2 linked regions of the Tamandua tetradactyla genome follow. The protein of the gene in region 2 interacts with the protein of the main gene of each other region in a biochemical or structural test. Links are inferred from orthologs where the notes say so. Each region holds a gene or a part of one and is shown on either strand. Other genes may lie near its edges. The genes, in order: MAX and MXD1.

Evidence for each region.
Region 1: the proteins of MXD1 (region 2) and MAX form a complex in vitro, tested with the Homo sapiens proteins (4 studies listed by BioGRID, with this or other methods). The link is inferred for Tamandua tetradactyla from reciprocal best matches to the Homo sapiens genes MXD1 and MAX.

The regions. Positions count from the first base shown.
Region 1 is NC_135338.1:22,364,624-22,381,629, forward strand, and holds the start of MAX (protein max), read right to left. Parts: upstream 7,197-17,006; 5' UTR 6,898-7,196; coding exon 6,862-6,897; intron 6,133-6,861; coding exon 6,106-6,132; intron 1-6,105. UniProt on the Homo sapiens protein: Transcription regulator. Forms a sequence-specific DNA-binding protein complex with MYC or MAD which recognizes the core sequence 5'-CAC[GA]TG-3'. The MYC:MAX complex is a transcriptional activator, whereas the MAD:MAX complex is a repressor.
Region 2 is NC_135343.1:43,428,098-43,444,412, reverse strand, and holds the start of MXD1 (max dimerization protein 1), read right to left. Parts: upstream 8,624-16,315; 5' UTR 8,369-8,623; coding exon 8,296-8,368; intron 7,952-8,295; exon of another isoform or gene 7,743-7,951; intron 7,569-7,742; coding exon 7,469-7,568; intron 1,959-7,468; coding exon 1,929-1,958; intron 1-1,928. UniProt on the Homo sapiens protein: Component of a transcriptional repressor complex together with MAX. In complex with MAX binds to the core DNA sequence 5'-CAC[GA]TG-3'. Antagonizes MYC transcriptional activity by competing with MYC for MAX binding.

The sequences.
Region 1 (17,006 bases), on a different chromosome or scaffold from region 2:
ATTACAGAGGAAGAAGAGGCTGGGAGCAGCTGTGGTAATTTTAGTTACTTCCTGGTCTCTCCAGCACATCACCTCATCCAGGCTGTTGAATATGATACATAGTGCCCATCACAGCCATGGTTCTTTATCACATACACTCTTCTCCAGGGCAGAGACCTGGAGCATTTCTAAAGCTCGTCTTCTCTTATTAAGTCTGATTTCACTGTACAATGTACCTGCTGAACCACAGTGATACACTAAATATTATGAGGAAATGAAAGGACAATCAAGCTTGAAATACTTGATAAATTGAGACTAGAGAGCTACCGTGTATCATACATCATAGCAAGAAAACTGCAGATGCCTTCTAATAGCAGCATGAGATAGTTTGAAGGAATAAAACATATTTAAATACCTAGTCCTTTTCTACCTTACTGTTTTCTCTAGTCATCTATACACAGGTAAATTGGTCTGGGTTCTAACTTGGACTATAAAGAGCTTAGAAGGTTCAGGCAGAACAATTTGGCATGTATGTGACTCTCCTGTTTGCTATATACTCCCTTAAGATGGTTTATTTACATGTAAATTAATTACCCAGCTTTGGTGTCCAGCAGCAGTCTCAGATATTCCTGTCTATTAAATCACCCTGAATTCTGGCCCTCCTCCCAGCTTAAGAGCTGTGCACAGAAGCAATGACACCAGTTACCCATAATCCCTCTTGTTGATAAAATAAAATTCTAATTGTCTGTTTTGTTTCTGGGAAAGCCCTGCAAATCTCCAACAGCTAGAATCAAGTTGGACTTGGTTTCAATGAAGCCTGGGTTAGAGGGGTGGGGCGAAGTATAATCTAGCACTGAAATCATCTGCATAATGCACTACCCCCTTCCCATTCACTGAGCCCTGAAAGGACTCAAATGGACAACAAACCTTTTGGTTAGAGGACTGTAAGTGAACTTGGCTGTGGACCATCAGCAGAAATCTTGGCTGCTTATCTGGAGAGCCAGCCAAGTTTGAGAAGTTGGCTCAACAAGGAAAGGCAGCAGTTCACTGCGTGGTAGAAAGCCTGGGCTAGGGAATGATGTTCTCAAAGTAGTGGATGGAATTTCTGTGGTGGTTCCAGGCCCAATGTAACTAGAAGAGTGGAATCTTAGACCAATCCCTGCTGCTATGTCTATCTCCAAGCTGCAACGCCTAAACAGAGTTCATTTTAAAGCTCTTGGAGATGATGGCAAGGATGAAGTCTCCTCCTGCCTAATCCTCATTTGAAAGACCAAGCTAGAAATATGCAGAACTAATGCCTAATTCCAGGCAACTCTGAACTGAACGATACCTTTAGTGGCATGAAAAACCTTTACACAAGGCTGAGAGTACTGTCTGGGGAAACGTTTCCAAACCACAGATCCAACCAGCCCAATAACTCTGCCTCCTTCCTCCAGCCTCCCCCACCTCTGCCCCTGCCCCCCCCCATTCATCCAAATGGAAGGCCAGGTGCCAGGCTTATCACTGCTTTGTAACTGTTTTTGCTTACTGGCAATTCTTTTTGAAGGGGCCAAGATTTCAGAGCTGAGGAAGATAAACTGGATGAAGACACTCGGTGTGCAATATCTGAGATTCCCCACACACACCCAAAACTGGTAAAATAAATTAAATAATTAAACAAAAGGGAAACGGTCAAACATTGTGTCTTGAATAAACAAAGCTCAACTCAGAGGAGCCTATACTGAGAAAGATTTTTGATAATGAAAGAGCAGGTGGTACTGACAGTACACTTGTAGAATTAATGAGGCACTGAGGCACAATTCTAGGAGAAAACAGAGTTATCCTGGGGATATAGAGCAGGCATCCAAATAGCTCCTCTACATATCTTATAGGGGCAAATGGCTGGAACCCTGCCGCTCTTCAAGTAGAACGGATCTGCAGTTTCTGCCAGAAAACTCTATCTTCAGGGCATCTCAGGCTAATAGAAATACTAAAGGGCTGCGTGATACTGAGGAGTGGCCCACAGATGCTCAACAGGAACTCCTGCACCAAATCGCTTCCAGCTTTAACATCTCTGCCAAGGTTTTTATCAAATCTCTCAGTTTTATTTCCATTAAGCTTTTCCCACTGGCAGCCAGAATAAAAATCTTCACCTACAATTTGTCCATCTTTGACACTATCAAGCATTTATATTTTAAGTGTTGTTAAATGTTGAAGGCAAACATTATTTTATTAACCAAGACGCTGCTAAACTGGCAGAAGATCATCGAAGCTAAGGAGGTCTCTTCAAAATTGAGGGATATCTCTTTAAATTATTTCCTTTCAACTTACTGCATAGAGAATACATCTTCATTCAAGTCATTATATTAGATGGCAGTCTTATTTCCTGCAAATTCTGGGCAAACAGCATGGGGAAATAAATGTTTCATTTTTCATGGATGCACGAGTTTTTCCAGAACAATGACATTTCTCTCAGGCTACCTGATACCTAACCCCATCTATAAGGAGAATCTCTTAATTCCAATACAGAAAATTCTCAGCACAGAAAGAATTGTACTTGCACACTAAACATTTATTGCCTTTAAGAAACTTAAAGGTTGCATTTTAGAGGGAAGGTAGTGTTGTTTATGATTATTATCAAGCGCTTATTAAACACTAACAACATTAAAACTGGAAGCACAAAGGCCTAAAATTCTCATCAGTAAAGATAATTTATTACTTCTATCTGATAAAGAGAACCAGACAGAATAAATAAAACAATTTCTAAGTCAACTTAAAACATTCCTTTTAATAAACATGAAAATTGCAACATGAAATAATGGGCAGCTAACATAAGATGAACTCATACTCAGCCCTAACAGGAAAATATTAATTTCAATTTCCCAATACCTCTCCTTCTTGAAGCCAATTACCTGGTATATATTTCCATCATCATCTAATAAATAAGTTTGTTTTCAGGTTTTTTTCTATCATTTGGTGCCTAAGAGAACCTGGGAAGACTATCATCAAAATATGTCATCATATGATACCCATTTAAGAGGAAGGATGCCTTGGTTAGGAAATGTTAATTAAAAACAAGTTGGATTCCTTGATCAACTATTTCAGCATTAGTGGTATCTTAAGAAAAAAAAAAAGGCTTTTTAAAACTTAAGAACACCCTTTATTCTGACAAAGAGACATATTAAGGAACTGAACTTGACATTTTTGCATCATTGTCAACATTCTAAGCAGAGATAAAGTATGTACATGGTGCCACAGTTTTGCCATGCAACTGATTCCAGGTAAAATAAACAGTAGTTTCCTGGGTGAATTTCAATCTCAGAAGTGACCCCTCATCCCGTTCTGAATACACTGCAATTCCTAAAGAAGCAAAGAATTCTGGAAGTTAAAAATATTTCATACCAGAAATGTCCAGAAGCAGAATTACACAATACTGTTTTTAAAATCCTAACCAGCATACTATAACTGCAATGCAATCAGCTGCTATGAAGAACAATATGTTGGAAAAGGCCTTTGGTTTTCTGATCACACACTAAGCCTACAGAAGTCTCACATACTTTCATTCTTTCCAACAGACAATTTCACAAACAGAAATAAAGAACTCCTTGCAAAAAATATACCTGTTTCAGAAATTTATCTTTAAAACGCAATCTTTCTCTCCAAACAAACGAAAAATAAATAAAATAACATCAGTGGAATTCTGTGATGTACTGAATTTAGCAATAAAAAATACTGTTCGGGTTACTTCCTTTAACAAAGCCTACTGGTCACTGGAGAAGCTGTTTTCCTTGTGCACTGAGGCAACAAAAAAATATATTCGTCAAATCAGTTTCACTTTCTGTTCAGTTAGCCTCATTTCCTAAGTCTGCTCTAGCTGATTATCCTACATTTCTCATGTAGTAAGGCTGCAATTACTGTAGTGAGGCTATAAAACATGAATGAGTGTCTCTTTTTATATTATAACCCACAGAACCTTTTCAAATAACTTTAAAAGTTCTCCTATAGTCCTAAATACTTGGTTGTTCAGTCCACACCCTTTTCTGAACATTTTTCCTAACGCAAAGCTGAGGAATAGCCAGCCTCCCCTCCCAATTTTTAAAAATATATTTCTTATCTATACTAAGTCTCAGGGAGTAGAGATGAATTCACAAAGCAAAAAAAAAAAAAAGAAGAAGAAGAATCCTTTTCTACCCTACCCATTCACAATATTATTTGAGATACTACGAAATTCATCCTTAACATGTCTGCTTTTTCTCCATGCTGTTGTGATGATCTTGTGACAGGTAATATTTAAAAGGGAAAACTCTTAGGTCACCTTAACACCAAATTAAAACATCTAGGCAAAATGAAGATTAGCATTCTATGGAAAACATTTCAGTAACTTCATATACCAGTTTACATCAAAGCCTATGAGGATGAATACTATAAAAAGAGGAAAGTTCTCAAGAAGTGTAAGTTGAAATCTCACCAAGAAAACTTTATTCTCACTAGAAAGCCAAAAAATTCCAATTCAAAGGATGAATCTGCGCAAGAGGGCTTATGAGAGCTCTATCCAATCACTACTTTCTGACCCTAATCAGGCCCTGAGGTAGCTCTTACAATAATTATGAAGAAAAAAAAATATTTTAAATAGAATTGTCCACATTATTAAGAAGAATAATTGAAAACAAGGAATACAATTTTCAAATTCTATTTCATGTATAAATAGATGTTTGTGACAAAGCTTCAAAGAAAAATAAAGCAAAACAAATTTTTTTTAGTGACTATTACCCAGGAACAATTTTTAGGACTTCTGGAACAACTGCATCCTTAGATCTTAAGGAACTATCAGCTCTCAATAAATAAAATTTTTCCTAATGCCCCTCTGCTTAGACCATCTGCAAGATCTGTTTGCTCTAATGAAGAGCTGGTACACGTAAGAATGCTTTCCTTTATTCTGTGGTTATTAAATTCATATACCACTGGTACCAAAAGGGCCTCCTGCAAACCCTAACCAGCCCCAAACAGCTTGACTGTTCCACACACATCATTTTAAAAATCAGAGAAACAGCATAAAAGTACAGATCTCCAATATTTCTTGAAATACAGGAAAATCTGGCAACACTAAACCCTTATCCCACATGGTAAAAATCTACTGGAAGTGAGTAGTAGCACCGTTTTAGGAGAGGTATGTGCTCCACTATTCCCCTCTTTCTACCACTTTATCCTGACCATCTCACTGCCTGACTCCCACAGGCATTTCTATACACTTCTTATTGTTCCCTACTTTTAATTAGATTTTGTTATCCTTATTTCTCTTCCCCTCTCTGATTCTGATTTGTTTTTGTCTATTTCCTTTTTTCTTTCTCTAATCTATTCATAGAATATCCACAGTACTGTCTCATTCTCCAACGTGAGAGTACTGTCTATCTAAATTTACAGAACTGAGAACATAAATATCAAAGCCCTGAGAAATTATTGATAATACTTTGTGTGGTCTCATCCATCACCTCTTAGCAAACCTTTCTCCCCAATACCACCTCTCTTCAACAATTTTGGTATTTTCTTTATACCTTTCCTTCAACTAAAATATAAAAAGAGTTAGACCACAATCAACTATATGTGCCACTTTCATACTCAAGCTTTAGCTCTTTTAAGAACACTGCCAATTTGTATCATGCTGTGCTAAATCCTATGAGTCTGTAACAGTCACATGACTTAAGGTAACTTGCATGTGGCTTCAGCTTCATACAACTCTACAGATATAGTTTTGCATACTACTTATTCTAAGTAAATCTTCTGACCACATTCCCCTGAAATAATCCTACAATTTACTTCAGAATGCTGAAAGCAGTGTTTCTCATTTCCAACTTACATTCTGTCAACTAAACCCTCTATGTGAAAGCTACAGAAAGAATTCCTTTCTTTGCATACAGCTGCTCCCACTCACCTACAGTCACTGGAACCTATTACCTGAGAATCTAGAATTAAGAGATTTGCAACCTCCCCCCACATTCAGAACCCCAGAACAAGGCCCCACCTCACCTTAGTGGTTAACAGGAGAGGCTACTTAAATATTAAAAGTAATAGAACGATATTTTTCTCTCTAACCCCAAAAGGATTAGAACTGAACGGAAATGAAAATGAAATGGAGAGTAGGAGACGTACCGCAGATTGAAACCTCGGTTGCTCTTCCTGGAATAAGAGAGAAAAAAATAGAAAATAAAGAAGTTATTTTTACACTTCACATTCAATAATAAGAAAGAAAATGCCGGCGGCAGAGGAAGCGGCGGGTGGGGAGTCAGTCCGACCCCCCTTCCCCCCCCCCACGTTCCCCTCCCCAATCAGCGGGATCCGGTAGTGGGGCCGGGGGAGTCCCGAGCACCGCCCCTCCTTCCGGGATCCAACCTGGGTCGGGGGGGGGGGGGAGCGGTCCTGAGCACTTTCTCCTTCCCTGGACCCAGCTCGGGGCATCTGGGCACTCCCAACCCCTCTCCGCCCTCCCTCATTCTCCAGGATCCGAGGGTCACGAGGAAGGGATCGCAGACCGAGGGTGCAGGTCTTGAGCGCCGTGCTCTTCCCCAGGATCGGGACAATAGGATCCTAGGAGCACCCCATCCCTGTTCCCTGGATCCTGAACCAGATAGGTTGGGAGCGGGCGGCCGTAGCACCCTCATCCACGAGGGGAGGTGGGGGTCCCAGACGCCGCGTGTCTACCTTCCCATCTCTAGTCCCAAGAGGCCTCTCCGGCCAGGAGCCTTAAGAGGAGTGAGCCCAGAGCGCGACAGAAGCGGTCCCGGCCCGGAAGGGAAGGTAAAGGAGGAGGCGGCGGCCCGACCCCCTCCCGCCGTCGCCCGGCTGAAAGCCCCGGTTGCTGTCCCCGCCTGACAACCCGCCCGGGAAGGAAGAAACCCCGGGACTCACGTCGCTCTCCACCTCGATGTCATCGTTATCGCTCATTTCCTACGGCCCAGGGAGCGGCCACTGCAGCGGCGGCGGGGAAGGGGGAGGGGTGGAGGGGAGGGGGAAGTCACCGACAACAACAAGCCGAGTCCCCCCACACACACACACAACACACACACACTCACACTCACTCACTCACTCGCTCTCTCTCTCACATACACGCACACACACACACACACACACAACACGGGCGAGAACCACCTCCTCACTGCAGCACCAGATCAACGGCGGCACGCACGCCCGGTCGGCCCCCTGCCACGTGACCGAGCTCGTCACGTCTGGGCCGCCGCGACTTGTAGTTCTCGTCCCTTTGACTGACCCCCCCAGCCGGCGCCAGAAAGACTACAAATCCCGTCAGGCACTGCATGAAGTCGACGCCAGCCCGGCTTGTTGATGGGGCCCAGAGCGCCTGCGTGTCCCGTTGAGGGGGCGGAGAGAGAAGCGGCGCGGTGCCTGCTGGGAGTCGTAGTCCACAGACCGCGAGTTGTCAGGAGGGTTCCTCCCAAGGCAGCAGAGGAGGCTTCTGGGAAGTGAGGACACGTGGAGGGGTCGAGGGTTGCTGGAGCTGGGCGCCGTCTGAGTTCAGGGCGCCGGGTCCAGGGAACACCGTGGAGGTGCTTGAGGAAAAGCCGGCTCCTCAAATCACGCTGCCTCTCCTTGGTGCGACTTATTTTACTTGTCTTGATATCTGGGGCGTAACCCGCCTGCTTAGGGAATCCTGCTGCTGTGGGCTAGGCGGCGCGATTTCGGACGCCCACGCTGATTCCAAGATGCGGCTGTGGAGAGGAGCTGTCAATGGAAGGTCTTAAGTGGTGCTATAGGGACGGGCAGGATGACTGCTTAGCCTTGGGACTGCTTGCAGCCACGGGAATCTTGTAGTCATCCATCCAGGAATGACCATTCTTTTTATTCACGTGAGGCTCATACATTCAGACCTCCGACTCTCAACAATTGTTTCCATGGAAGTAAAAGCCCCTTTTGAGTTTGTTATAGTCAGGCAGTTTAGGGAGTGCCCAGTTAAGAATTTCAAAACCATTTAAAATCATATTTAAATGTGTGCGAGGTGTGATCACATCCATCCCACCAGTAATTTATTAAACACCTAACACGTGCCAGCATGGGAATGCCATAATATTAAAGACCGGAACGATCTTTATAATGCCGCTCACAGATGTGGAAACAAAAATGAGACTGCCTTGCCACCATTGTAAAGAGGAAGAAAAAAACAATTTGGAAAGACACTTTCCACCCTGAGATAAGCAAAATTACCGAACTACTCTTGTACATAGATCTCCAAAATGAATAAAATTTTGAGCATTTCCCATAGATTATTAATTATCTAATAAAAACCATTTTACCCTTGACCTTTGAATGTGAGACTCAGGCTCCCCATGCGAGCGTATCATCCATGCTGAAAAGGCAAATGTCAATGTGGCAATTTCTCCTTTACACTTCCTTTATCTATCGTATTTCTTGTTCAATGATCCATTCTACTGAAGTCTGCATATCATTTACAAGTAAACTTAGTTTTTCTTAATGCTTTTGTCTTCCTTTCACACTGTATTCCTTGCACAACTCTTAAGGGAGACAGGCATAAGTAGACCATTATGTGGTAAGAGCTGATAAAAAAGATAGCTCTTGGGTGAGTTAATTAAATTTTGGAAGCTAGGACTAATTGAAGGTGACAACAAATCACTTTCGGGTCTCTGCTATGTGCAAGCACTATAGGGCAGTGATTCTTAACCCTTGTACCGTGACAATCTGCTAAAATCACCCCAAGAGCTTTTAAATATCCCCATGGCCAGGCCATGCTCCAAGTTAATTAAGTCAGCTTTTGGGTGTTTCCAGTGTTACCTCTCAGCCTGAGAACCTCTGCTATAGAGGGTGCCAAGACAAATAAGATGGTCTTCCACTGAATCATACTTTTTTTTTTTATAGGTGCACGGTCCAGGAATCAAATCCGTGTCTCCCGCATGGAAGGCGAGCGTTCTACCACTGAACCACCCATGCACCCTGAATCATACACTTTTAAAGCACAAATTTTATAGTATGTAAATTATGTCACTAAATCTATTAATAAAAAAATAAAATAGTTTTGCCCTCCTGGAATTTAAAACTTGATAGGGAAATAAATTATGAACAGCTGTTGCAATGAAGACATTATTTAAGTGCCAAATTAGTGAACTGGGTAGTGAATGCCGTACTTTCTCAGAGGATGGAGAAATACTCCCAGATCTGGAGTGAGAGTGGGAAGTTCTGGATGGTCAGGGAGGTTTTAGGCTGTCAGACAGTTCCATCAGAGCAAGAACTGGGTTCTCAGAGACTGGATCACATTTTTCTCACCATTGAATCCCTATTTGATGGGTGGATGCTTGGGGTTAGGAAGAGCTGAGGAGGAAAGACTTTCCAGGTAGAGAGACTGGAGATTTGAACATATCTCCTTTTTAGTAATTGGTTTAAAATATGAAGACTTGTCAACCTGATTAATAGATTTGACTTAATAGGCATAAAACTTGGCATCCAAACAATTGTAGAATTTATTCTTTTTAAATACTCATGGACTATTTACAAAAATTGACAAGTCATAAAGCAAATCTTAAGTTTCAAAGGTCTGCGATCTTAGCATGTTTTCAGACCTAATGCACTTAAACTAGAAATAACGAAAACAACAATAAACTAGAAAACCTTCATAAGATTGGAAATTAAGAAACACTTTTAAATTCCTCTGTTGGAGGGACTTTCATGAGCAAGGCACATATGCGGGAAGACATTAGAAGTAAGAATACAGAGAAGTTTCCTTTGGTTTTCCCTTTCAGTGTTTTTCTGATGTGAATAATAATGTAGAACTCTAAGGATGCATTTTCATCTCTGCACACTTGAATTTCTTTGGTGATGCTCTATGGGAGCTTATCAAGACTGGAGCTTGTCACTGGATAGATAGCCCAGTTTCCCTAGTCCCTTGCTACTTCAAATGTGGTCTATGGACCAGCTAGTTAGAAATGCAGAACCTTAGGCTCCATCCCAGATCTCCTACATCAAATCTGCATTTTAATAAAATGCTCAGGTGATCCATATGCACTGTCTTTGTTTCCTGGCTGTTAAGAAAAATACCACACAAGGGCTGGTTTAACAACAGGAATTTATTATCTCTCATTTGGAGACTGGGAAGTCTTGCTTCCTCCTGGGGTGGTAGCGTTCTGGTGGTGGCAATCCTTGGGTTCCTTGGCTTTTGTGTCACATGTGATGTCCTCTCCTTTCTTTTCTGCTTCCATTGACTTTTGGCATCTGGCTCCTCTCTGTGTTTTTCTCTACTTCTGAATTTCATTCTGCCTTTAATGAACTACAATAATCAGGATTAAGGCCAGCCTCATTCAGTTGGGCCACACCCTAAATAAAATAACATTTTCAAGAGATGCTATTTACAGTGGGTTCACACCCACAGGAATGCAGATCATGCCCAAGAACATGTCTAAGTTGTGGTCCGTAATTCAATGGACCAGATACAGATTAGAGTTCAACTAGCTCTGACGTGGGAAGAGGGGGGCACTGAGTGTGGGGGACGGAGAAACTGCCTTCATTTTCTCCTCAGCTGTTTTACAATTTGACTTCCATCTATCACTTAACTAAAATTGCTCTTATCCAGGCCAACAGCTACCTCTTTATTGCTAAATCCAAAGCCCTTATCTTATTTGACCTAATGGTGGCCTTTTACAATGTTGACCACTCCTTTTTCTTTTTTTTTTCGTTTCTTTTTCTTGAAGGCCAATAACTCTCTTGCTTCTCTCCTTGGCTGCTCTGGTTCCCATCCTCTGGTTCTTCTTGCCCTGTCAGTGGCGAGTTCCAGGGGCTCTATGGCTGGCCCTTACCTCTTCTCCTCTGACCCTCTGCCTGGTAGGATCTGCCTCCTGAGGCATTGATAACCATCTCTCATGTGGTGACCCCAAGCTGTTTTGCTCTCTTAAATTCTAGTTTGTTATATTCAATTTATTTCTGGATATATCTCCTTGGGTTACTCGATCAACAACTCAAAAGTCAAGACTTAATGAGTGAAGAAAAGCAGGTTTTGACACAATATTTGGAGGATGATCTATTCACAGAAAATTGAACATATATATATGAGTATATATGTATGTGTAGAGAGATGTTAGTAAAAGGATATTCAACAAAAATACTAATAGTAATTATCTCTGGGAAATGTGATTTCCTTCCTTCCTTCCTTCCTTCCTTCCTTCCTTCCTTCCTTCCTTCCTTCCTTCCTTCCTTCCTTCCTTCCTTCCTTCCTTCCTTCCTTCCTTTCTTCCTTTCCTTTCCTTTCCTTTCCTTTCTTCCTTTTTGAGCAGTATCATTCTTGCCAAAATAGTTGAGCTATTAAAACACAGCCACTATCTTAATCATTTCATTATCTTTCTAAACCAGCGAACTTCTCAAGCCTTAGTGCTTAGGCATAAAGTCACATCCTTTTCCCATGTTATGCTCATGCTCTCCTTATTTGGGGGAGGAGGGTGTAAGCACCAGGCTCCCAGCAGGAACCAGCTGGCATATTTAAGTTAGATTCATTGGAGGAGCCGTTAAGAAAGAAGTTATTTACAAATATGTGGGCAGAAGGTAAAGAAACGACCGGGGTTTGTACGATACCACTGGGACTCTGTTCCCAGGCCTACGCCTGTAGGGGAGAAGGGATGGCATGGTTCTTGAACTGGGAGAGCAGAGGCTGTGTGTGGAGAGAGCTCTCTGTCAGGAGCTCAGACCTGGGCGTTGTGAGGGATGGGATCTCGAGGAGCAAAAGGAGGACCTTAAGCACAGCAGGAACCCTTTCCTCCTTTTCTCACATTTTCAGAGAGGGAAGGGGAAATACAGGAGGAATACTTCTAGCACCTCTGCCCCTCATTTATTTTCCCTTAGAGGAGGAGTGACTCATCAGCTTGGTGAGTTTGAGAGGAGAAGCTGGTTGTCTGTAGCTCAACCTTTTCTCCCTGAGCTGTTAAGACACACTTCCCCTACTCTCCTGTATACAAGAAGTCTGTCCGTGGGGAGGACGCCTGGTTGCCCAGCTGTGCTAGGACTAGGTGGGTACAGTTCATCCAGGAGAGCAATACCAGAAAAGCCACAGGTTAAACCTCATTCGCCAACTCAGCCTTATCAGTACTAAAGCTTCTATTTTTGTCTCTATCTATCTGACTTGTGTCTGACTAAAGTGGTTCCAAATTCAGGGTGGTAGACCAAAATGTTAATTATTGGCAATCTTAAACCCTCAAACCCCTCTCTAACCCACTAACCTCTCATCCAGTCAGTCAGCAAGGCTGTTGGGTTCCAAGCCTTTCATCCCCCACTGTAATTCCTGCCTCAGCCAGGCCTCTGCCACCTCTCACCTGGACAGCAGACTCCTAAAGAATCTCCCTGCTTCCAATCCCACCCCTCTCTTGCCCACTCTCTACCTTTTAACCAGAGCGACCTATCAGGAATGAGATATGTTCACTTCCTTGATTAAAATATTTCAAACCTCCCGATACCCTCAGGATAACACCCAGACGCTGTAACTTGGCTTTCGAGACATTTCATGATTTAGTTCCTTTGCCAGCCCCATCTTTCAGCTCCTGCATTCCACATTCTAGCCATGCAGAATTTCTTGCTTTCCACCCCCACCCCTCTAAGGATCAGGTTGTCTTTTCCCTCCAGGGATTTCCACATGTTGCTCCCTCTGCCCTGAGTAGTATCTACCCCAAAACAATTCCTACTCACCCCCAAGTTCTTCTCATCTTTTGGGGCTTAGCTGTTACCACTTCCAAGAAATCTTTCTGGATTCTCCAAGGCTGGATTAAGTACCCATCTACTGTTCCCATACCCCCTGCGACTTCTCTTCTCACGCACTTATTGTTCTGTTTTGTAACTTCCTTTTTGCACGTCTCTCTCCCGCACCAGATTCACTGTAAGCTCCTCAAGAATCAGTTCCATTACTTGTGATAGCTTTATTTAGGACAGAGTTTTTCACTTACTGGTTTTATTCCCACCTCACTGCCTGATTTAGTGGTTCCTTCTCTACTTGATTGCAAGTCCTTGGAGCTGCAAGTCCTTGGAGCTCAATTCTCTCCTCCGGGTGAACACATCCATTGTCATCTATATGTTGATGTCCTTCTAATTCAGACATCTTCTTAAAGCCCTCCTCACAACTATTACAACTGTCGTCTCTTAGAGTCACTTAAACATCTCAGACTTACCTCTTCAAAACAACTCCTGAGTCCTCCCACCCTTCCCCAACCTGATCCTCCACCAGTCTTTTCTCTTCCTGTTCCCAAAATTGGTGCCACCATCTGCGCAGCTACCTAAACCAACTACCTAAACTGGTAGTGACCTTTCAATCCTCCTTTTCTCTCTCAGCAGTGTCCCTCCCCCAGCCCCTCAATACCCCTTAACTGTAAGCCTCTTGAATCCATTTTCAGAACATGTTGTGCTCAGTTTACTTTTTCCTGTCTGTACTGCCTCATCTTAGTTAAAGAGCCTAGCACACAGGAGGCATTTAATAAATCATTTTTCAGCTAGAGAAGTTGGTTTCCCACCTCTCATTGTCCCTACTCTAATTCAATCCCCACCCAAACAGCCAGAGTGATTGTTTAAGATGGTAACTTGGATCTTGGCTTGGTTCCTTACCCAGCCTCCAAGGCCTACGGGGTCTAGCCCCTGGTCACCACTCTGACCTCAGCTCTCAACTTCCTGCCTTCACACACTATCCCCAGGTTTCCCTGGTGTTTTGTGGCCTCCTCCTGGTTACAGCATCATCTTTGTGCTTGCAGTACCTGGCTGGACTCCAGTTTCCCAACTCTGCAAGTGGTCATCTTACCTTGTCTCTGAGAGGCTATTGTAGTTTGTTGTCTAAGATCAGCAGCATTTATCACCACCTGTTTTTATTTGGTGTTTACTCGTTTATTGACAATGGCGCCACCAGACTGTGAGCTCTTTGAGGTTGGAGACTGCTGGTTTGAAACTGTTCCGTACCCCAAAAAAGCCGTGTTCTTTTTCCTAATCCAATCTAATGGGGCAGACCTATTGTTTTGGTGGGATCTTTTTTTATTGAGTTATTTCCATGGAGGTTGTGGGTAGGACATTTTGATTAGGTGGTTTCCATGGAGATGTGCCTCTGCCCATTCAAGGTGGGCCTTAATCTACTTACTAGAGCCCTTTAAGAGGGAACCATTTTGGAAAAAGCTCAGAGTTGATACAAACAGAGATGTTTGGAGATGCAGAAAGAAAACACCCCCGGGGAAGCTGTTTTGAAACCGGAAGCCAGAGGACCAGCAGACACCAGCCATGTGCCTTCCCAGCTAACAGAAATGTTCTGTGTGCCATCAGCCTTTCCTGAGTCAAGTTATCCTTCTTTGAGTGCCTTGGTTTGGACATATTTATGACTTAGTACTGTAAACTTGAAACTAAATAAATCCTTTTTATAAAAGCCACCTGTTTCTGATATATTGCATTCTGGCATGTTTAGCAAACTAAAACAGAGACCTTACCCACCTTGTTCCTAGTCAGATCCCTGCTACCTAGCATGGTGCATGGCTAGGTGTATTGTGTATCTACCTAGGAATTGTTCATTTCAATCCTGTCATAGTCTATAAACCACATGGACAAGTGAACTATTCTGGAAATACCTGGAAAAAAGTCATGAAGATGGTTCACTTTTGCCAGGAGGGCTAAGTAGAGCCTGTATTTGAACGTCTTAGGGCTGATGGGAAATTAAGAGGTTACTGTTTGGGTCCTGCTCCACATGGTGTGCTTGGTAGGCTGGTCTCTGCTAATAATACCCAGCCCTGAATTATTCTCAAAATGCCACTTCACCAATTTGAGGATTTAGGGGTCAAGGTGGAGAGGAGGTGAATAATGTCAAGGGCCAATCTGTGTTTAGCCTATACCTTACCCTGTCCTTGAATTAATTTGACTCCTTTGTCAGAAAACCAAAGGCCTTTGTTCATAGCTTTTGTCAGAAAGAGCCAGCAGACAAAGTTTTCTTCATTAATGTCAGGGTTAGTTTCCTAGTATACATCAGAAGTTTGTTGATGGAGGAGAGAACTTTACGGGAAGATGGCAGAATAGGGAGTTTCAGGGCTCACTCCTCTCTCTAAAACAGCTAATTGACAGGCAGAATCTTACTGAAACAACTGTTCTGGGGCTTCAGCGACCAGGACAGTACTGTGACATCCAGGGAGGAACAGGACTAAGAGACTGAGAAACTGTTGTGAAAAACTGTGAGTAACTCATATAGCTTCCAGTGCTCACCCCCCATCCAGGAGGCAAGCAGCTTCAGGATGGCCTTGTCCATGCCTGGTGGGCTGCTGTGGATTGTGAGGGCTATGGAAGTCCACCTTACCATGAGCAAAGGGGGACATGGCCCAGTAGCAATTCACCAAGAAGAAATAACAATCACAAATATTTATGTACCTCATGTATTTCGGCGAACAAATTAGACAATTTAGAGGAAATGGACAATTTTCTAGAAACACACTGTGCTGGTTTGAAAGGATTATGTACCCTAGAAAAGCCATGGTCTAATCCTAATTCAATCTTGTGAGAGCAACCATTTCTTTCAATCCCTATCCACTTTATAGGTTGGGAACTTGATTAGATAATCTCCATGGAGATGTGACTTACCTAATTGTGGGTATTAATTAGAGGAAGATGTGACTCCACCCATTCCAGGTGGGTCTTGATTAGTTTACTGGACTCCTTTAAAAGAAGAAACATTTTTTGGGAAGATAACAGAGCTGCAAGAGAGCCATGAGCCCAGACAGCCAGAGACCTTTGGATATGAAGAAGGAATATGTCCCCAGAGAAACTTCATGAAACAAGAAGTCTAGAGAGAAAGCTAGCAGATGTCACCATGCTCACCATATGCCTTTCCAGATGAAAGACAAACACTGAACATCATCAGCCTTCTTGAACCAAGGTATCTTTCCCTGGGTGCCTTAGATTGGACTTTTCTATAGCCTTGCTTTAATTTGGACATTTTCACAGTCTTAGGACTGTTAACTATCAACTTAATAAATTCCCCTTTTAAAAAGCCATTACATTTCCAGCATATCACATTTTGGCAGCTAGCAACCTAGAACATGCATGAAAAATCTACATCGACTCTAGAAGAAATAGAAGACTTCAACAAACCAATCACAAGTAAAGTGAACATCAGTTACCAGTAACCTACCAATAAAGAAAAGTCCAGAACCCGATGGCTTCTGGTGAATTCTACCAATCAGTACAAGAAGAATTAATATAAATCCTGCTCAAACTCTTTAAAAAAATTGAAATGGGAACACAACTTAACTCATTCTATGAAGCCAACATCACCCTAATACCAAAGCCTAATAAAGATGCTACAAGAAAAGAAAACTACAGATCAATATCTGTAATGCTATATAGATGAGGAAATCCTCAACAAAATACTTGCAAATTGAAACCAACAGCACATTAGAAGAATTTAACACCATAATCAAGTGGCTTTTACTCCAGGTATGCAAGGGTGGTTCAAAGCAAGAAAAGAAATGAATGTAATACATCACATTAAAAAATTGAAGGGGAAAGAAACACATGATCATATTGACTGATGTAATAAGGGCATTTGACAAAATCCAACATGCTTTTTTATTAAAAGACTTCGAAAGATAAGAATAGAAGGAAACTTCCTCAACATGATAAAGGGCACATATAAAAATCCCACAGCTGACATACTTAGTGGTGAAAGACTGAAAGCTTTCCTTCTTAGATGTGGAGCAGACAAAGATGCCCACTGTCACTACTGTTATTCAACCTGGACGTTCTAGCTAGAGTAATCAGGTAAGTAAAAGAAATAAAAGATATTCATGTGGAAAGGAAGAAGTAAAACTTTCACTATCTGTAGATGACATGATCCTATATTTAGGAAGTCTCCAAAAATCTACAACAAAGCTACTAGAGCTAATAAACAAGCAAGTAAAGTGGTGGGTTATAAAATCAACATGCAAAAATCAGTAGTGTTTGTACATACTACTAATAAGCAATCTGAGAGGAAACAAAGAAGAAGTTTCCATTTACAGTAGCATCTAAAAGAATCAAATATCTAAGTATAAATTTAACTAAGGCTG
Region 2 (16,315 bases):
CTGAACTGCTAAAATAAAATAGAAAATTGACATTCTGTGGCATTCCTGCAGAGGTGAAAGGTACATTGCTGAAGTAAGTCTAAGAACCTTCAGCTAAAGGAATGAAAATTTAATAATAAAAATAAACGCCTAAGTACAAAGTTAAAGGGAAGAAAGAGAACTAGAAGCCTTTTCAGCAGAAATGGTCCATTTCCCCAGTTTACCTCGGAACTAGGAATATGCGGGAGAATCTAAAGATGAGACAGAAAAGCCACATTAGACTACCCTTTCCACCTTCAGAACAGATCCATTTGAGTTCTAAGTTCATAATATGTAAACCCCTAAAACACAAAGGAAGCTTTGGCCCAAAGCATGGTCAATCACAATCATGGAAGGAGGAGGGATAAAGAGAAGCACATGTGCAATGAGGTACACTCGCCATCTCACACATGGTCAAAATTCCAGTGGACAAAGCTAAATGTTCACCTTGTGCCAAGATTTGCCTGTCTGCTAAGGGTCTGGTCTGCTCTATTCACTGAAGAAACAAACATTCAGATTCTAATTTTCCAAGTCTGGTTTCCTTTTTAAAGAGGGTTTGCATGAAATAACCATACATATTTAGAGTCGTCGTTATATGTCATTGTTCATGCAGGCAGAGGAGCCATTCAATCTGGGTGGGAACAGGTATTTCAAATAGAGGGGGAGCTCAGAGACCAGAATGAGGCTCACTCAATGGTTCCTAGCTCTGGCTGAAAGTGAGACTCACTGGGGGAGCTTTTAAAACATACTAGTGTACAAAGCAATCAGTATACAAACTAATTAGTGTACAAACATACTAATGTGCAACAATTAAATCAGAATTGCTAGGGGTGAGGTCTGGGCATTGGTATTTTCTTATAAAGCACCACAGAGAATTATCATTAATTTTTTCACCATGATAAAAGCAAATGACTATATTTTTACCTATGAGAGATAGAAACAAATATTTAAAAGTCTTTATCTATGAGAGATAGAAACAGAAATATTTAAAGATAAATGTGTAGGATTTGCTTTAAATAGTCCATGGAGAGGGATGGTTCTAAGTATACAAGATTGGCAAAGCATTGATAGTTATTGAAGATACACTGGTACCCAGTTTATTAAATTATTGTCTCTAATTTTCTATTTTTGAAAATTTCTATAATAAAAAGTTATTTTATAAAATCAGCAAAAATAACATTTGTTCTCATCTCCCCTCTAAAATGTATGTTTTTATATAATGTATTTAATATAAAATGTTTATAAAAATAAAAGCCCTGCAAGTGATTCTAATGTGCAACCAGAGGTGAGAACCACTAGGATGCATCATTGAAGGAGGGGAAACTTGATATGAAAAATATTTAAACAAGCAAGACAGTAAAACATGAGAGACTCATGAGACTCATCTCAGGCCTGTGGCCAGATCAAGCCCAGTGAGGACAGCAGGCTTCCTCTAGTCATCATCATCTCCAATTTTTTTGGCACACATTTGCCTGAATTTTGAGAGTCGTCATTCACAAGTAAACTGCAAATATATTATATATATATATATATATATACACACAACACATGTGTGTATGTGTGTACAATTTAAGAAAGTACTGCTAATTATAATTAGTAGCATGCAATTTAAGAAAAACACTATTTGTAGAAACATTACCTATAGCCTAAAATTCTTTGTGCTAAGTAACAGCCACAAAGAAAAGCATTCTTCAGGAGTGGGCCTGGGGTGAGGGTTGGGTGTGTGGTCATTGGCACTGGGGAACTCTTCGCCTACCTGAAGTGGGCAGTGCTGCTTGGAATGTTCTGGGTAAACTCTTAAACCAAGGTGTCATTAGTAGGAAGCATCAAGAGGAGCAACCAAGTCTCAACTTAATGAATAGAAAATGTATCTAAACTCCCCTTATCCCATCTCTCAAACTCCAACTCACCTATTCTTCTCCATTTCATTGTGAGTTGATCTGAAAGAGAGAACAAAAGAAAATATGATTATTCTTTGGTCTTGAAAGACTACGTCAACATCAACACAACTGTTTGAGCTTCTTTTTCTTCATAGGTAGTAAAACATAATGTGGAGAAAGAAAAAACTAACTGGACTCTACTAAAGAAATTAGTCCATTTGGGGAGTCAGATAAATGCGAATATCTAAAATGGAGTTCAAGGAAAAGTAATCAAATAAAGAGGCATGCCATTACCTAGTGGAAAAGAAATCTGTTTCAAAGAAAGAAATAAAGGGGTCATTTCTACAAAGAGAAAAACAGCTGCACAATGTGATGCAAATTTGGTTTATATAATATCAGAAAGCTTTCTTTAGGCTGAAGGTAGAACAGTGGAGGTGGCAGCCCCACCTCAGACCTGCATTTTTTTTATGTGTAGTAAACCATAATTTTGTGTTAAGTTGTTTAACTACAGGAAATAGTTTAAAATGGATAAAATAACCACCGAATCCATCCCTATCACTCTGCCTTATCGTATACAACCTCCTGAAAGATGCTACTGCTAAACAGCTACCTAATGATTTTAGGAAGGAGTTTCCAAAACTCAGATCAGCATAAAGACAACTGGCTGGTTAAAGCAGTAGTGGGTGAAATCTGAAGTCCAGCTTTGTCACTGACTGGTACTGTGGAAGAAATTAAATTGTTTACCATCCTGTCTTTGGTTAACCCCTCTGTAATATGGGAATAAAAATAATAGGCAATTATTTACTGAACAAGCATGGATCAATGAAGTAGCAACTGTAAAGTGATTTAAGAGCTTTCATCTGTGGTGGATGTGAAATCACATTAGCGTTTTTATAGCTGAACTGGAACATAAGGTCTGGTCTAAGAATTTATGGACAGGTCTCTGCAAAAGTCACGAGAAGTCAGTCAACATGGCCACTATAGTGTCCTTCCTCAAACAGCTCTTCCCTACTTGGGGAGCTCAAGGAAACTCCCAGCATTATAAAGGAGCTGAATCTTGACCTTTCTTAAGGAAACTCCCTGGAATCCGACCAGCGCAGGAGATTACTCCCTGGTGCAGGTTGTGGATTCTGTGGGGCCGTGACTGTGATCGGAACCTTAAGGGCCTAGGAGATAAATTCTCACAGTAATTATGGAGAAACATTACCTTGTGAATGCTCAGCCACTCGCTTACATGAGGGAGGCCCAAGTTTACTCACATGAGGGACCAGTGCCAGGGGGTGAGGTGGGGGGGTTGGGGGGGTAGGGGTTGCTCTGGAATTCGGAAATTTCTAATCCAGCACTAAAGCTTCTTATCTACAGGCCCTTGTGATACTGATATTTTTATTCCGAGGGAAACTTACAAGAAAATAATGATAGTATTTAAGATTTAGAATATTGATTTTCTAGATAAAGGATATGTGGATGTTAAAACTGGTTAACTTAAAAGCTTTAAACTGTTTTTTTTTTTTTTGGTCATCCCTTCCTCAGTGTTCTTCAGTCACATTTTTCTGAAGGCTTTTACTTCCTGCAATGGCCAGCAGGATTAACAATAACCTGGCCTGCTTGCAAACCTTTGGTTTTAAAGCACATGGCACTTGCTTTAATAACCTGTTGAATAACAAGTTCAAAGTCTGGCAGATTTTTAAAATGGATGACAGCATATGACAGTAGCTGATCAAGATTTCCCTGTTGAACTATGGACAAGATTTCCATGCTAAATGAAGTAGAGAAGGAGGGGAAAAGAGAGGTTGAAAGGAACATTATCTCTGGTAATAAAAAAATAACACACTGGGTATTTTACCAAAAAATTCTGGATGCTTTGAAAATAACTTTAAAACACATTCCTTAGGAAGCACAATTCCTCTCAAGCTTTGGATAGAATTCTGGAAACTACAGATCTTATTTGTTTACTTAAAGAGTTTTGAAAACATGGTGATTTTTTAAGGGGGGTTATACCTAATAACTGGTAATTACTGAGGTACATTTGCTTTGACACTGAGTTGACCTTTAATAAAAAGCAGGTCTTCTAAAAATGATCAGTTCAGAGATTGCCTGCCACCTCTATCGATGTAACATTTAGATTTAATTAAAGCTTTAGAAGTGTTCTTCTAATACATAGATACCTTGTGTCAAAAGATTTGCCATGTGATTATTGAATGGATTTAATTCTGGAATCATTAATAAAGGTTAAATTTTACCGTTTAAAAATGTATTCTAACAAAAAAGATAACATAAGCCAATTTAAGAGTATCTGAAAAATGGGTGAAGTCCTTGGGATCAAAAGCACTCCCAATGTCAAGTCAGCTACGTGGCCACTGTCATTTAAAAAAACTGGTAGCAAGTCTTAAACTTCCTCTTTCACATCAGTGCCAAGACTAGCCTTATTAATTTAGCAAAACACATTTTAGATCATTCTAGATTTCACTTCTAAATAGTTAGCAACTGATTTTAAAAATCAGTAGAAAAGAAAAAGATTCCATCTCCCTGTATTCCAGCAGTTCTCTGGATGATTCCAAAACAATCAATATTTATGATTTTGGTTTTGCTGTTTTTTTTTTAAACAAGCAAATGGAGAAACTTGATTAGGATCTGCATTTTCAGTTCCCAAGAAGTCTGATATGTGGTTAAGTCTTTTTAATGTCCAAGGGAAATACCCCCTAGACTCTAAAGCAAATAGTACAACATTTCAACCTGAATTAACAAGAATAAACTGCTATCCAATGGTTAAGTAAGCCAGCAGTAATCTTTCCTTATTCCTTGCCTTAGTTCAGAATTCTAACCACACATGGCCTTGGTTGTAAGTCTAATTCAAATCAAAGGTACAAAATGCATTCTCTGTTGAGATGTTTCACTGCTCAGGTAAGGATTATTCCAAACAGGTCGTGAAGGAAATAATCACATTTCAACAAAACAACCTGCTCTTGCTTCATATATTTACTTGGTAACACCTCCAGGTTTAATCATGGCTTCTCAGGGATCACTGAAGATGTTACATTAAGTATTAGTCAAGATTAGGGACAACTGTACTAGCCCCATATCTCTAAACATGGAAAGCAAATCAAATCCATTAACAGAAGTAATAAAGCTTTTGTCAAAAATCAGGAATTGCAGCCATTTTTCAAGACTAATGCTCATCAGAAAAAAAAATTCCATTTCTTGGCTTGAAATTCTCAACTCTCATTTTTCTTTCCTAATCACCCTGTTGGACCAAGTTACTTTTCTTCAATAACACCCTCTCCTTTTCCTCTCCCCACCAATGAATGAGCTTCCTTCCACAATGTCCCAGTGAAACTTAGGAAAAAGAAAGTGTTAAGGTATTAAGCCTTGAAGATCAAAGTGGACAATGCCTCTCAAAGCCTGAATGAACAATAAAAACAACAAACTGATTACACTTTTCCAGAAAAACGAACTGAAAGGCCTCAGTTCTTCCAAACAAAATTTTAAAGATACTGTAACAAAACGGAACATAGCTTAATCATTTTCATACCATTACATAATACAAGCCAGTAATAACATTCTTCTTAAGGGGTCTTAGTTCTGCATGCACAGACCTACTGGCTACCTCCTTCGTCAGGTAATGTTAAAGATGGCAAAGCAAGGAAAAACCACCTGGTTTTCACCTGGCTTATCCTTCATCCTTCTTATTCAAGAAGGCAGCATATGTATGCTACTCACATCTTGTGGTTCCACCAACACCAAAGACAATGGGTGAAATAAGGACAGGAGAGACAGCAAGAAGGAGTTTTAGGGTTTAAGTGGGAAACTCCTGGCTTTTAGTGGTCTGTATTATGCCACAGAGGCTACCCAATACATTTATTTGGAGGGAGTTATGCAGTAGGGATGGGGGAAGACGAGGATTCTAAACCAGTGAAGAAAATGTCAGTTATTTTAATTTACAAGCATGAAAGGCATAATTGAATGGAACTTTTAGAACAGATTTCCTAGTCAAATGATATTATAACAGCAAAAAGGGAAAGAAAGGGCAACAGTATTGATGAAGCATTTATATGTGCCAAGAACTATACTTACGACTTTAATATGTAATTTCATTGACCATTAACCAAATACTTTCCAGTGAGATTCACACCTTTTAAGAACTGTAAGGCATTTTTTCTTCAGAAAAATTTGATTTTTACTTATTTTAAACATTGAAAGAAAAATCCAAGAGGAAAAGGAGATATGTAAAAGGTTGACTGGAATAAGAATCAGAGTAAAACAAAAATAAAATGCAATGTTAATCAACGCTTTGGAAAAGTATTTGCAGTATCTAATGAAGTTGAACACATATAAACCACATGACCAAGCAAATTCACTCCCAGTAATAAATATACTTAACAAAAATACACCTGTATGCTTACCAAAAAAATGAATACTAGTTGATTTGCAACAGGGCTAATTGTAATTGCCCAAATAAGAAATTACCCACATACCTACCAACATTAGAATAGGTAAATAAATTGAGACATAATCACACTATGGAATACTGGACAGTAATGAGAATGAATAATGTACAACTATACGCAACAACATGAATAAATCTCACAAACATAATGTTGAGTGAAGGAAGCCAGACACACCTAAGAATGCACAATATATTTTTTCTCACTTATACGAAGTACAAATATAGGCAAAACTAATCTATGCTGTTAGTCATCAGGTTAGTTGTTTCACTTGGGGTGGGTGGGTAGTGATGGTAAGGAGCACAAAGGGGCCCTCTTGGGGCTGGTCATTTCTGTTTCTTGATCTGGGTGCTGGCTACATGGGCATTTTCAACCTCTGAAAATGTATCAAGCTGTACACTATAAACTTTTGAAATGTGCACTTAGTATTATTTGTTAAACAAGAGGTATTTTAACAATTTCAACAAAAAAGTTTTAAAAATGCAATGATCTGTGGTAAACTGTAGGCTCTATCCTAGTCATTAAGGCAGTTTTTAAGGCTAATATGAAAGGGTTGTGGCACAGTAATATTTTAATATTATATGTTTCTCCATCACCACCGAGGTAACCTTCAATCTCAACAATTCCGTGTCGCTATAGATATAATTATATTATCAAACCACTGCATTTAATCTGTATGTGAAATATGAAATCCTACCATCCATGCCAAGTCAGAGCCTTTAAACTGTTTTAAATGTTCACTAGGAAAAGAAACTGAAAATGTCCAGCATTTTCAATTATAATAAACTTGTCCTGAATCTGACAGCAAAATATTGTCACCGTTGCCAATCTCACTTGAAGCTTCCACAGATTTTTGTTCCAAAAGGGATGAAAAGCAAAATTAGGGGGGAACAAAAAAAGCTCTCATAAAGAAATAGGAAACGTTTCCATTTCTCTTTTCTTTTCAGTCCCTTCAATCCAAACAGAAAGGCTGCTTCCTTCAGTGGCTTAGGACCATGTGTGCATTACTGAATTACGATCTCCACTGAATGTATTTACAGGGTTATAATCATAACTGGCAACTTACACCCTGCAGTTTGTGTTACCTACAGTATAATTTAAAAGAGAAAGAAATATTTACCAAATTACCTGCTACTGCTGTTATTCTTCTTGGATTTGTTCCTCCGTTTTAAGGCATCTCTGTCCTTGTTATTGTATGGTAACATGGAGGCATAACCATGTTCAGCTTCTAGAAAACCGGAGGATTCAGTTAATGAATGAACCCAGAACATTCAATACTCTCTCTCCTCCACAGTGTTTCTTTTTCGATTTTTTTTTCTTTAACAGAATATTGTGGAAATAATTAAATGGGGCAAGGTGGGCTTCTGAGAACAATGATTTTTTTCTTTAATTGAATGAGTACCCTCAGTTCGGAGCAGGTGTTAGGAGGATTCCAGCTGCTCATTGTTGAGAGACCCAGCAAGTCGCTGAGCTCCTCGAGCCCGGCTCTCCCATTCAGCCCGTCCAGCAGTTTGGTGAGTGGAAAAGCCGGACCAGCCTCCGGGAAGGTGCGGGGAGAACACCGTGAGCCGGGGGCAGGGGAGGCTCTCCTCCTGCGCGGCGGCGCGACGGGGCGCCAGGCCCACTTGGGGACCGCTCGGGAGAACCCGGGTGAGGTAAACCCGAGGGGCCGGGCTGAGGGCCCCCCGGGCACCCCACTCGCGAGGGGCTGCGGGACGGGCGGCGCTAGGGACCCGGGGAGGGGGGTCGCCCCGCTCGCACCCCCATTCATTGCCTCCAGGGCAGCGGTGGCCTCCCTGAGGACCGCGCGTGGGAAGACCAGAGGGGTTGGGAGCACTCGCCGTCGCGCTCTCCGCGCCAACAACCCCCGGAGCCGCCGGGAGCCCCGACCCGCGGCCGGTCCCCTCAGGCCCCCAGCCCCGGCCCGGGCCAGGCCCTTCCCCGTCTCCGTGCACCTCTCTCCCGCCGCTCCAGGTAGTCGGCCGCCTCCAGCAGCATCTGGATGTTCCTCCGAACCGCCGTCGCCATTCTGCACCGGGGGCCGGAGCCACGGGACCAACCCCCACTGCCCACGGGCTCGCCGCCGCGCCACCCGACACCCGCGCCCAGCTGAGGGTCCCGCGGACCAGGCCTGAGGGGGTCTCTCTGATGACCACGCTCGCCGGAGGGGGGAGGGGGCCGGTGAGCTGGGCACCGCCGACACCGTGACAGAACCCAGAGAAGAGCAGCAGCCGCCACCGCCGCGGAGTGTTTATCCCCGACTCACCATCCCCCCCGCCCCCAGCCCCTTCTCTTGACAGGCCCGCTTCGGCTGCGTTCCTCATTGGATAGCGCAAAGAATGCCCCGCCCCCAGCCTTGTCCGATTGGGGGAGAGCCTGTCTGCCCCACCCCCCAAAGTCCGCTCCTCTCGCTGGTTGGGCACGCTTGACAAGGCCCGGGCTCCACCCCCTCTCCCCAATTGGTGACAGGATTCGCAACTCCGCCTCGTGCTCCCTCCCTGTTTTCCATTGGTTCCCTACCGACAACCGGGCCCCCTTTTGCTTTGTTAGTATTGGCCAAAAGCTACAGAAGGGTTGCTACTTCGCCTGTCTCCCATTGGTGGAGCCTTCGGAAACCTCCCAGCTACGATGATGTCACCCTTCTCCCGGCCCGGCGAACCCTGAGTGGCTGGATGTTAGCGGCCAGGCTATTCCTTTCAGGGTCTTGCATCGGCTGCGAGGCTGGCCCGGGCGCTGGGCGACGCTGATTCACCCTCTCCCGGCTTCGACCTGTTGCCCAGACCCGTCCCCAGAGAAAACTTCCGGCGGCCGAGGGCTCCGCCGCGAATCCTCCTGAAGGGAGGCGGTGGTTCTGGGCCCCGCGGGCGCCACGTGGCTGTGGGGTTTGAGGAGAAGCGCCTCTTAGCGTTAAATGCTCGCGGTCCCTATTTTCCTCTGCTCGGACAGCAGAGTCGGGCTGTGTAACCGGCGTTGAGCTCCTCGCCAGAGGAGATTTTTTTTTTCTGGGAAGTGATGGTATAATTAATTACTCCCTCACGTGAGTGGGTGTTAAAAGTGGAGAAAGTTCTTGTGCTTACAAAATAACGTTGAACTCGGAGATTCTTTTACTTAAACCTCTTTTAGGGTCTCTACCTTTTAATTCGAGATGAAAAAATTCACAAAACTACCTTTTGAAAATGGCTATCAGTGTTTGTGTGTGTGTGGGTGGCATATAAATGCTTAATAGAACGGTACAGCGACAGAAATAAAAAGTAGATTAAGGATTTCTGAGGTGAAAACTCTCATGAGACCCAAGTTACTTAGTTAATATACTGACATCGCCAATTTAAAAGGCAGAAATTAAGCTCTTGGTAAATTGTCCTGAAATTAAAAAATAAATGAGTAAAACATATTTCACAGTTTTTTTAGTTTATTGTTGCCATGGATTATTATGGCAGCTTATTAATGTGTTAGGTAATTTACCTACATTATCTCTAGTCCTGGGTAGGTTGTTTTAATTATCTACAGTTTGCAAATGAAGAAACTGAGGCTCAGAAAGGCTAAGTGACTTTTCCAGTCATCCAGTCAGCCTCAGAGATGAAAACTGAAACTTTGTCTATCTCACCCAGACCAGGTTACTGATCTGTCCTGGCTGTACTGGAGGGAAGACAGTTGAACAGATTTCCAGTTTGAGTCATGAAACACTGAGACTTAGAAACACTGGGGAAAAAGAAAAAGTTACTGTAATCAGGACGAGAAATTTTTAACTTGCTGCTTTTTTAATGATTGGCACCATTAAAATTAAATGAACTCAACAGAATTAATATGTAATAAACTACATCTGATAAACAGAAAACATTTCCTGGTTTCAGTGGTTAATTGGATCTAAAAGCTGGTTCTTCATGAAAACACTAAATATACATATTGAAGGTAAAGTTTTTCAAGAAAGCATAAAACAAAGTTGGAAATGAAAATGGGTATATAACAGTTTTACAGAGTTTTTAAAATTGCATCTTATTTGTAAAACAAATTTGAAAATTGTAATTATATGGGTGTGATGCTACCAAAGCACCAAAACTGACAATAGTAAAAACACTTTGATTTCATGATCTTAACATACTGGATTTTTTATACTTTCATATTTTCTCTTTGATTTTATTATAAACATTTCAACACATCTCTTTACTCTTTCTCTCTTACTCTCAGCACTGCAATTTAAACTAGGTTGTAATTCATCATCATTATCCTTCCCCTTATTGAAAGAATCTCTCTGTCTCACACATACACACTCACACAAGAAAAGGGTTGAGATCTGGAGTCAGAGATAAGTTAATAATTTAAACACCAACAAAAGTCTAGTTTAAACTCCAAACAAAAATACTAAGTTATATCAAAATCAGAGTACTAAACTAAAAGAAGGATCGTTTCTCTTCTGTGGCCTCAGGAGAAATTACAATTAGCCAGCAACACAAAAGTAGGAAGGAATTACAAAAAATTCCAAAGGGTATTTGGTGCCACCTACTGGAGGTGAAGCAGTGTAAGTATAAAACAAAGGTTTGGGTTTTTTTCCTTAGAAATTATTTTTCACAGTGTATACAATGACCACTTAGTTGTTCCTGACAGTACGAGTTTTGAGGAAAGAACTGAAAAAAAAAACCACAATCTAAAACAAAAAAAGTGATGAACCCCTGCACCTAGCACCTCAGAGGCATTAAGTAAGAATTGACTGATGGGTTCAGCACCCCCAAAATAAAAGTTGGGAATTCCAGAATGTTTGAACCTGAATTTTATGAACAGAATTCTTAAGTAAAAAGCTATATGTAATAGCATAAATACAGGTGATAGATAATTTATATTTTTGATTAAATAAAATTAAAATAAACTTATAGAATTTGATAAATCCATTTGAAAGTGGGGAAGCACAAAGACTTGTCAGCTAAACTTCACTGTACTTCTTTAAAGGTTGAGAGATTTATTCAGTCTCCTTTCTTTGAGGGGCTTATACTCCAGGTGGGCAGAGGATAGTATATTAAAAGTAAATGCCAAGCTAAAGTGTGTGGCAGGTTATTCAATGCCAGAGGAATTCTACTGAGAACCTCTTCATGAGTACCTCAGTGGCAGGGAATAATAGTAACATAATCCTTGAATGTCAAAAAAGCTCCCAAACTGTGGGAATTAAAACACTATTACTGATTTTGACACCTTATGACATTAAAATTAATTTTGTTTCATAAGTGTTTGGGGAAATTTTTTATTCAAAGTGTAAAAATCAGGACTGGACATTTCTGCTTCACTAATACCAAACCTTTTCTTTGTGGCTACTTTGGAAGACTTCAATATCATGATATCCAATACTGTGATACTAAGTTTTTAAAGCCTTTAAAAATGATACTTGAAAAAATCACCCCACAAATATTTGTGATTTGAAAAATAGAGCAATGACTAAGTAAACTATGGCATATCACTCCATGAAACACCATGTAGCAGTTAAAAACCAAAAGAAGTAGACTTACATATCCTGGCATGGAAAGATCTTCAGGGCATAGATTCAGTTGTAAAATAATTTCTATAGTGTGATGCAATGTAAACAAGCAAACCCAAACTATGCATCCCTCATTTCAAATTCTGTTACATACATATATGTGTAGACAAAGATCTGGAAGTATCCACTGCAAAGGATTAACAGTGGAGTGGGACAATAGGATCAGGATTATGGTGCAGGTCAAAGGGGACTTAGCTTTGTCATAATATTTTACAAAAAAAAAATGTATTTATTACCTGGGTAGCTAAAGGTTAAAATGAAAATCAGAGGAAATGGTTAAGTAAAAAAAACTATATCCACAAATTCAATCGATATTTACAATCTTTACTTGCCTCGTATTGAGTGATGTTGGGGCTACAGCAGTGAATGACACAGGAGCCCCACCTCTCAGTGTTCGCTGTCTAGTGGAAGAGCCAGACAGTAATAAATGGATATAGAATATGTCAGGCTATGTGGTATAACCTGTGAAGAAAAGTAAAGGAGGATTTGCAAACCATGTGGAGAAACTGGAACCCTCATACACTGGTGGTGGGAATGTGGTGTAATCACTTTGGAAAAGTTTAGCGGTTTTCAAAAAGTTAAAACACAGAGTTACCATATGACCCAGCAATTCCACTCTTATGTAAATACCTAAGAAAACCGAAAATGTGTTCACACAAAAACTTGCACATCAATGTTCATAACAGCATTACTCATAATAGCCAAAAAATAGAAATGTCTTATCAACTGGAAAATGGATAAATATGTATATCCATATAATGGAATATCATCCATCCATGATATATGCTACAATGTGGATGAACCTTGAAAACATTATGCTAAGTGAAAAAAAGCCACAAAAGTCCATATATTTTATAATTCCATTTATATGAATGTCCAGAATATGAAAAGCCATAGAGTCGGAAGGTGATCAGGGTTGTTAAGAGTTGATGGGAGGACATGAATGGGGAGTGATGGCTAGTGGATATAGAGTTTCTTTTCAGGATAAGGAAAATAAAAATATTCCAGAGTTAGATAATAGTGATAGATGAACCCCTCTGTGAATACAGTAAAAAACCACTTTAACTGTATATTTTAAAAGGATGAATTTTATGATTTGTGAATTTTTATCTTAATTTTTTAAATATTAAAAAAAAAGAGGGGAGATAGAAGAAAGATTTGCTAATTTGGACAGTGTGGTCAGAAATAACCCCAGTTCGAGCAAGGCCTGAATGGATTAAAGAAGCTACCCATGTGAATATAGGGAGGAAGGGGAACATTCCAGGAAGAATTCTAGGAGCAAATGGAAAGACTGTGAAAGAGACACATTTGTTCTCAAAGAACAGGAAGGTGGCCAGCCAGTATGGCTGAGCACAGTGAGCCTGCTGGAATCAGGGTCTAGATCTTATAGAGGCTTGTAGTCAAGTAAGGACTGGACTTTACTCTAAATGATGGAAAACTGTGGGAGACAGGAGCAATGTGACCTGACACTCCACTGTTGATGCATAAACCGAGGCAGCAAAAGCAGGAGAAGGACAGACTTATCAGGAGGCTATTGCAGTAGAAAAGGTGAGAAAGATGGTGGCTTAGATTGGGGTGGTAGTGGTACAGGTGGTGAAAAGTAGATTTAAAATATACTTTGAGTTTAGAACCAAAAGGATTCACTAATGAATCCAATGTGGAGCATGGGAGTAAAAGAAGAGTTGAGGATGACTCCAAGGATTTTGGTTTGTGCAAAGGACTGAAAGGAGAAGCCACTTACTGAAATGGGGGAATCTTCAGAGAAGGTTGGACAGGGAAATGAAAGTTCACTTTACCTTAAATTTGAGGTGCCTATTAATCTTCTGGGTGGGTGTACAAGACAGGAATTCAGGAAAATGGTCAGGTTGGAAGTAGAAATTTGAGAGTGAAGGCAGATGTTTGTAGCTACAGGTCTGGAAGACTCACGGAGGGAGAAATCGGGGAGTTTCCAAGGATTGAACCCTGGAGCATGCTAACATTTAGATACTTGAAAACAGAAGATTTGGCAAAATGTATGTCCTCTGAGAGCTAATACTTGTTAGAGGAGAAAGACAAGGATGCTTCATCTTTGTCATTTTTCCAGAATCAAATGATCTGATGGATACAAGTTCATGCAAACTAAGACTTCCCTTAAGATCAGAGGTATCTTCTCTCTGGATTTTCAAAGATTTCCTCTTTGAAAGGAAACCTATTGACCTACAAGGTATTCTCCAATTATTTATTGACACAGTATGCTGCCTTGAGGGTCTTAAGTCAAATTTCTACTACCACCACAATGATGATGACAATCTAAAAACATAATTTGGTTTGGGGTATAGTATTTTATCCCTGATTAGCTACCCTTTAAAACAACAATTGAGTCTGTGCTCCTTCAGTATGCACAAATATGGTGAGATAGTCCTTGTCACAGATGATTTACAGATATAGAATACTTGGCAGTAGTGGTGGTGGTTGTAGAGGCATCAGGAGTCTACTTAGCTCTACTGACAAAAGTCCAAGCAAAATAATTTGCCTGCCTGGAGTGGTGACACTTGTGCCATGGAAACGTCAAGTTGTGCAAATGATATAGCATATTCAAATACGTGAGCACTGAAAGCAGTAGTTGGTAAGAATGCCAACAGTATTGATCTTCAGGATCTGAATTTTGGCAAGTCGTTTATCTTCTCTAAGTCTCAGTTTTCTTATCTAGGAAATGGAGATAATACTATCTGCTCTATCTGTCTCACAGGGATTAAATAATCAAAGCACTTTATATACTGCACCATACAATGCAGTCATATTACTATTATTTTCTTTATAGGCAACTAATCTGCCAGGAAAGTTTTAAATAGGGTGGTCAAATTTCAGGTATAATAAAGATTTTAATATCTAGCCAAAGACTTGTAAAATCATATGTGTAAAAAGATAGTCTTTGCAGAATTGTTTAACATAGCAAAAGATAAGAAACAACTTGTATGTCCTTCAACAGGAGATTAATCAATTATAATCCATACTACAGTGGATCACATATTTTAAAAAAATGAGGCTATTTCATGTACTGATAACAATCTTAAGATATACTGGTAAGTAAAAAAATCTAGGTGCAGAATGGTGTGTAGAGTCTGCTTTCATTTGAATAACATATATATAATGTTTGTGTATGTGTGGGATCTCTAAAAGGATTCACAATTAGCTCATCACTGTATACCATTTGTACCATCTGAATTATGTTCCATGTATTTGTAGAACTTACTCAAAAATATGAAAATTTAAAATCCAGCTACAGAAGCCTGAAATACCAGGAAGAAATGAAAAAAATGGGTAATGATTATTATCCTCAATATTAACAAGAGCTTCCTTCAAATAAGAAAAATAAATGCTTGCCACAAGATAAACGGATCCAAGGCTTGGAATCATCATTTCACAAAAGAAATACAAATGTTTAGTACTCTTTTTTTTGGCATGGGCAGGCAATGGGAATCGAACTCAGGTCTCGGGAATGGCAAGTGAGAACTCTGCCTGCTGAGCTACTGGGGCCCACCCAGTTAATACATTTTTAAACTGTTCATTTTCCCTAGAAATTAAACAAATTAAAACCAGTTACCATTATTTCACCTATCAGACTGGAAACTTCTTAAAAATTCAATCTCCAACATTGGTACAAATACATGAAATGGGAATGCTCATACTTTACTGGTAAGAGTTGGCTATAACCTTTCTAGTCACGTCTATCAACAGCTTTACAACATACACCCTTTTATCTCACCCAACAATGCCTAGGAGTTGAGCCTGAGGAGATAGATATAAAAAGATATATATAACAGGGATACTAGCCACAGTTTTAATTATAATAGGAAGTCATAGAAGGCAATGCAATGGTCATTAATAAGTATTACTTAGTAAATTATGGTACGACTAAATACTATTAAAAGCTAAGTTTAAAAAAATTATTTAAGAGCGTAAAAAAATTTGTTCTCAATAAATAGGAGGGGGTAAAAAGTTAGAGAAAGAACAGCAAAGTATGATCTGATAGGTAGGGGCAAGAAATATACATGCATACCCACAAGAACCTGGAAAGATATACACTAAAATATTAACACAAATTATTTCTGGGGGTCAGATTACAGGTGATTTTTGACTTTACTTTTCGGTTTCTCACAAGTTATTTTTCTAATAATGAGTATGCATTGCTTTGTATAATTGCAGGGGGGAACAGATAATAAATGGTAGAGGGGCGGGGAAACAGGAGATATAAAACTCCAAAGTAATACTTTTTCATTCTTCCAATTTTTAAACTACTAAAACCATATCTGAAAAAACAGAAAATGTCTAGGGAGATGTTTTTACCTAGTAATAAAAATATTTAACAGATACAAAAAAGTAGAAATATTGCTTTATTGGAGAAACTTACATCCAAATTACTTCCATGTTTTTTTAAAAAGTTCTAACAAGCAGAAGAAAACATACACAGCTTC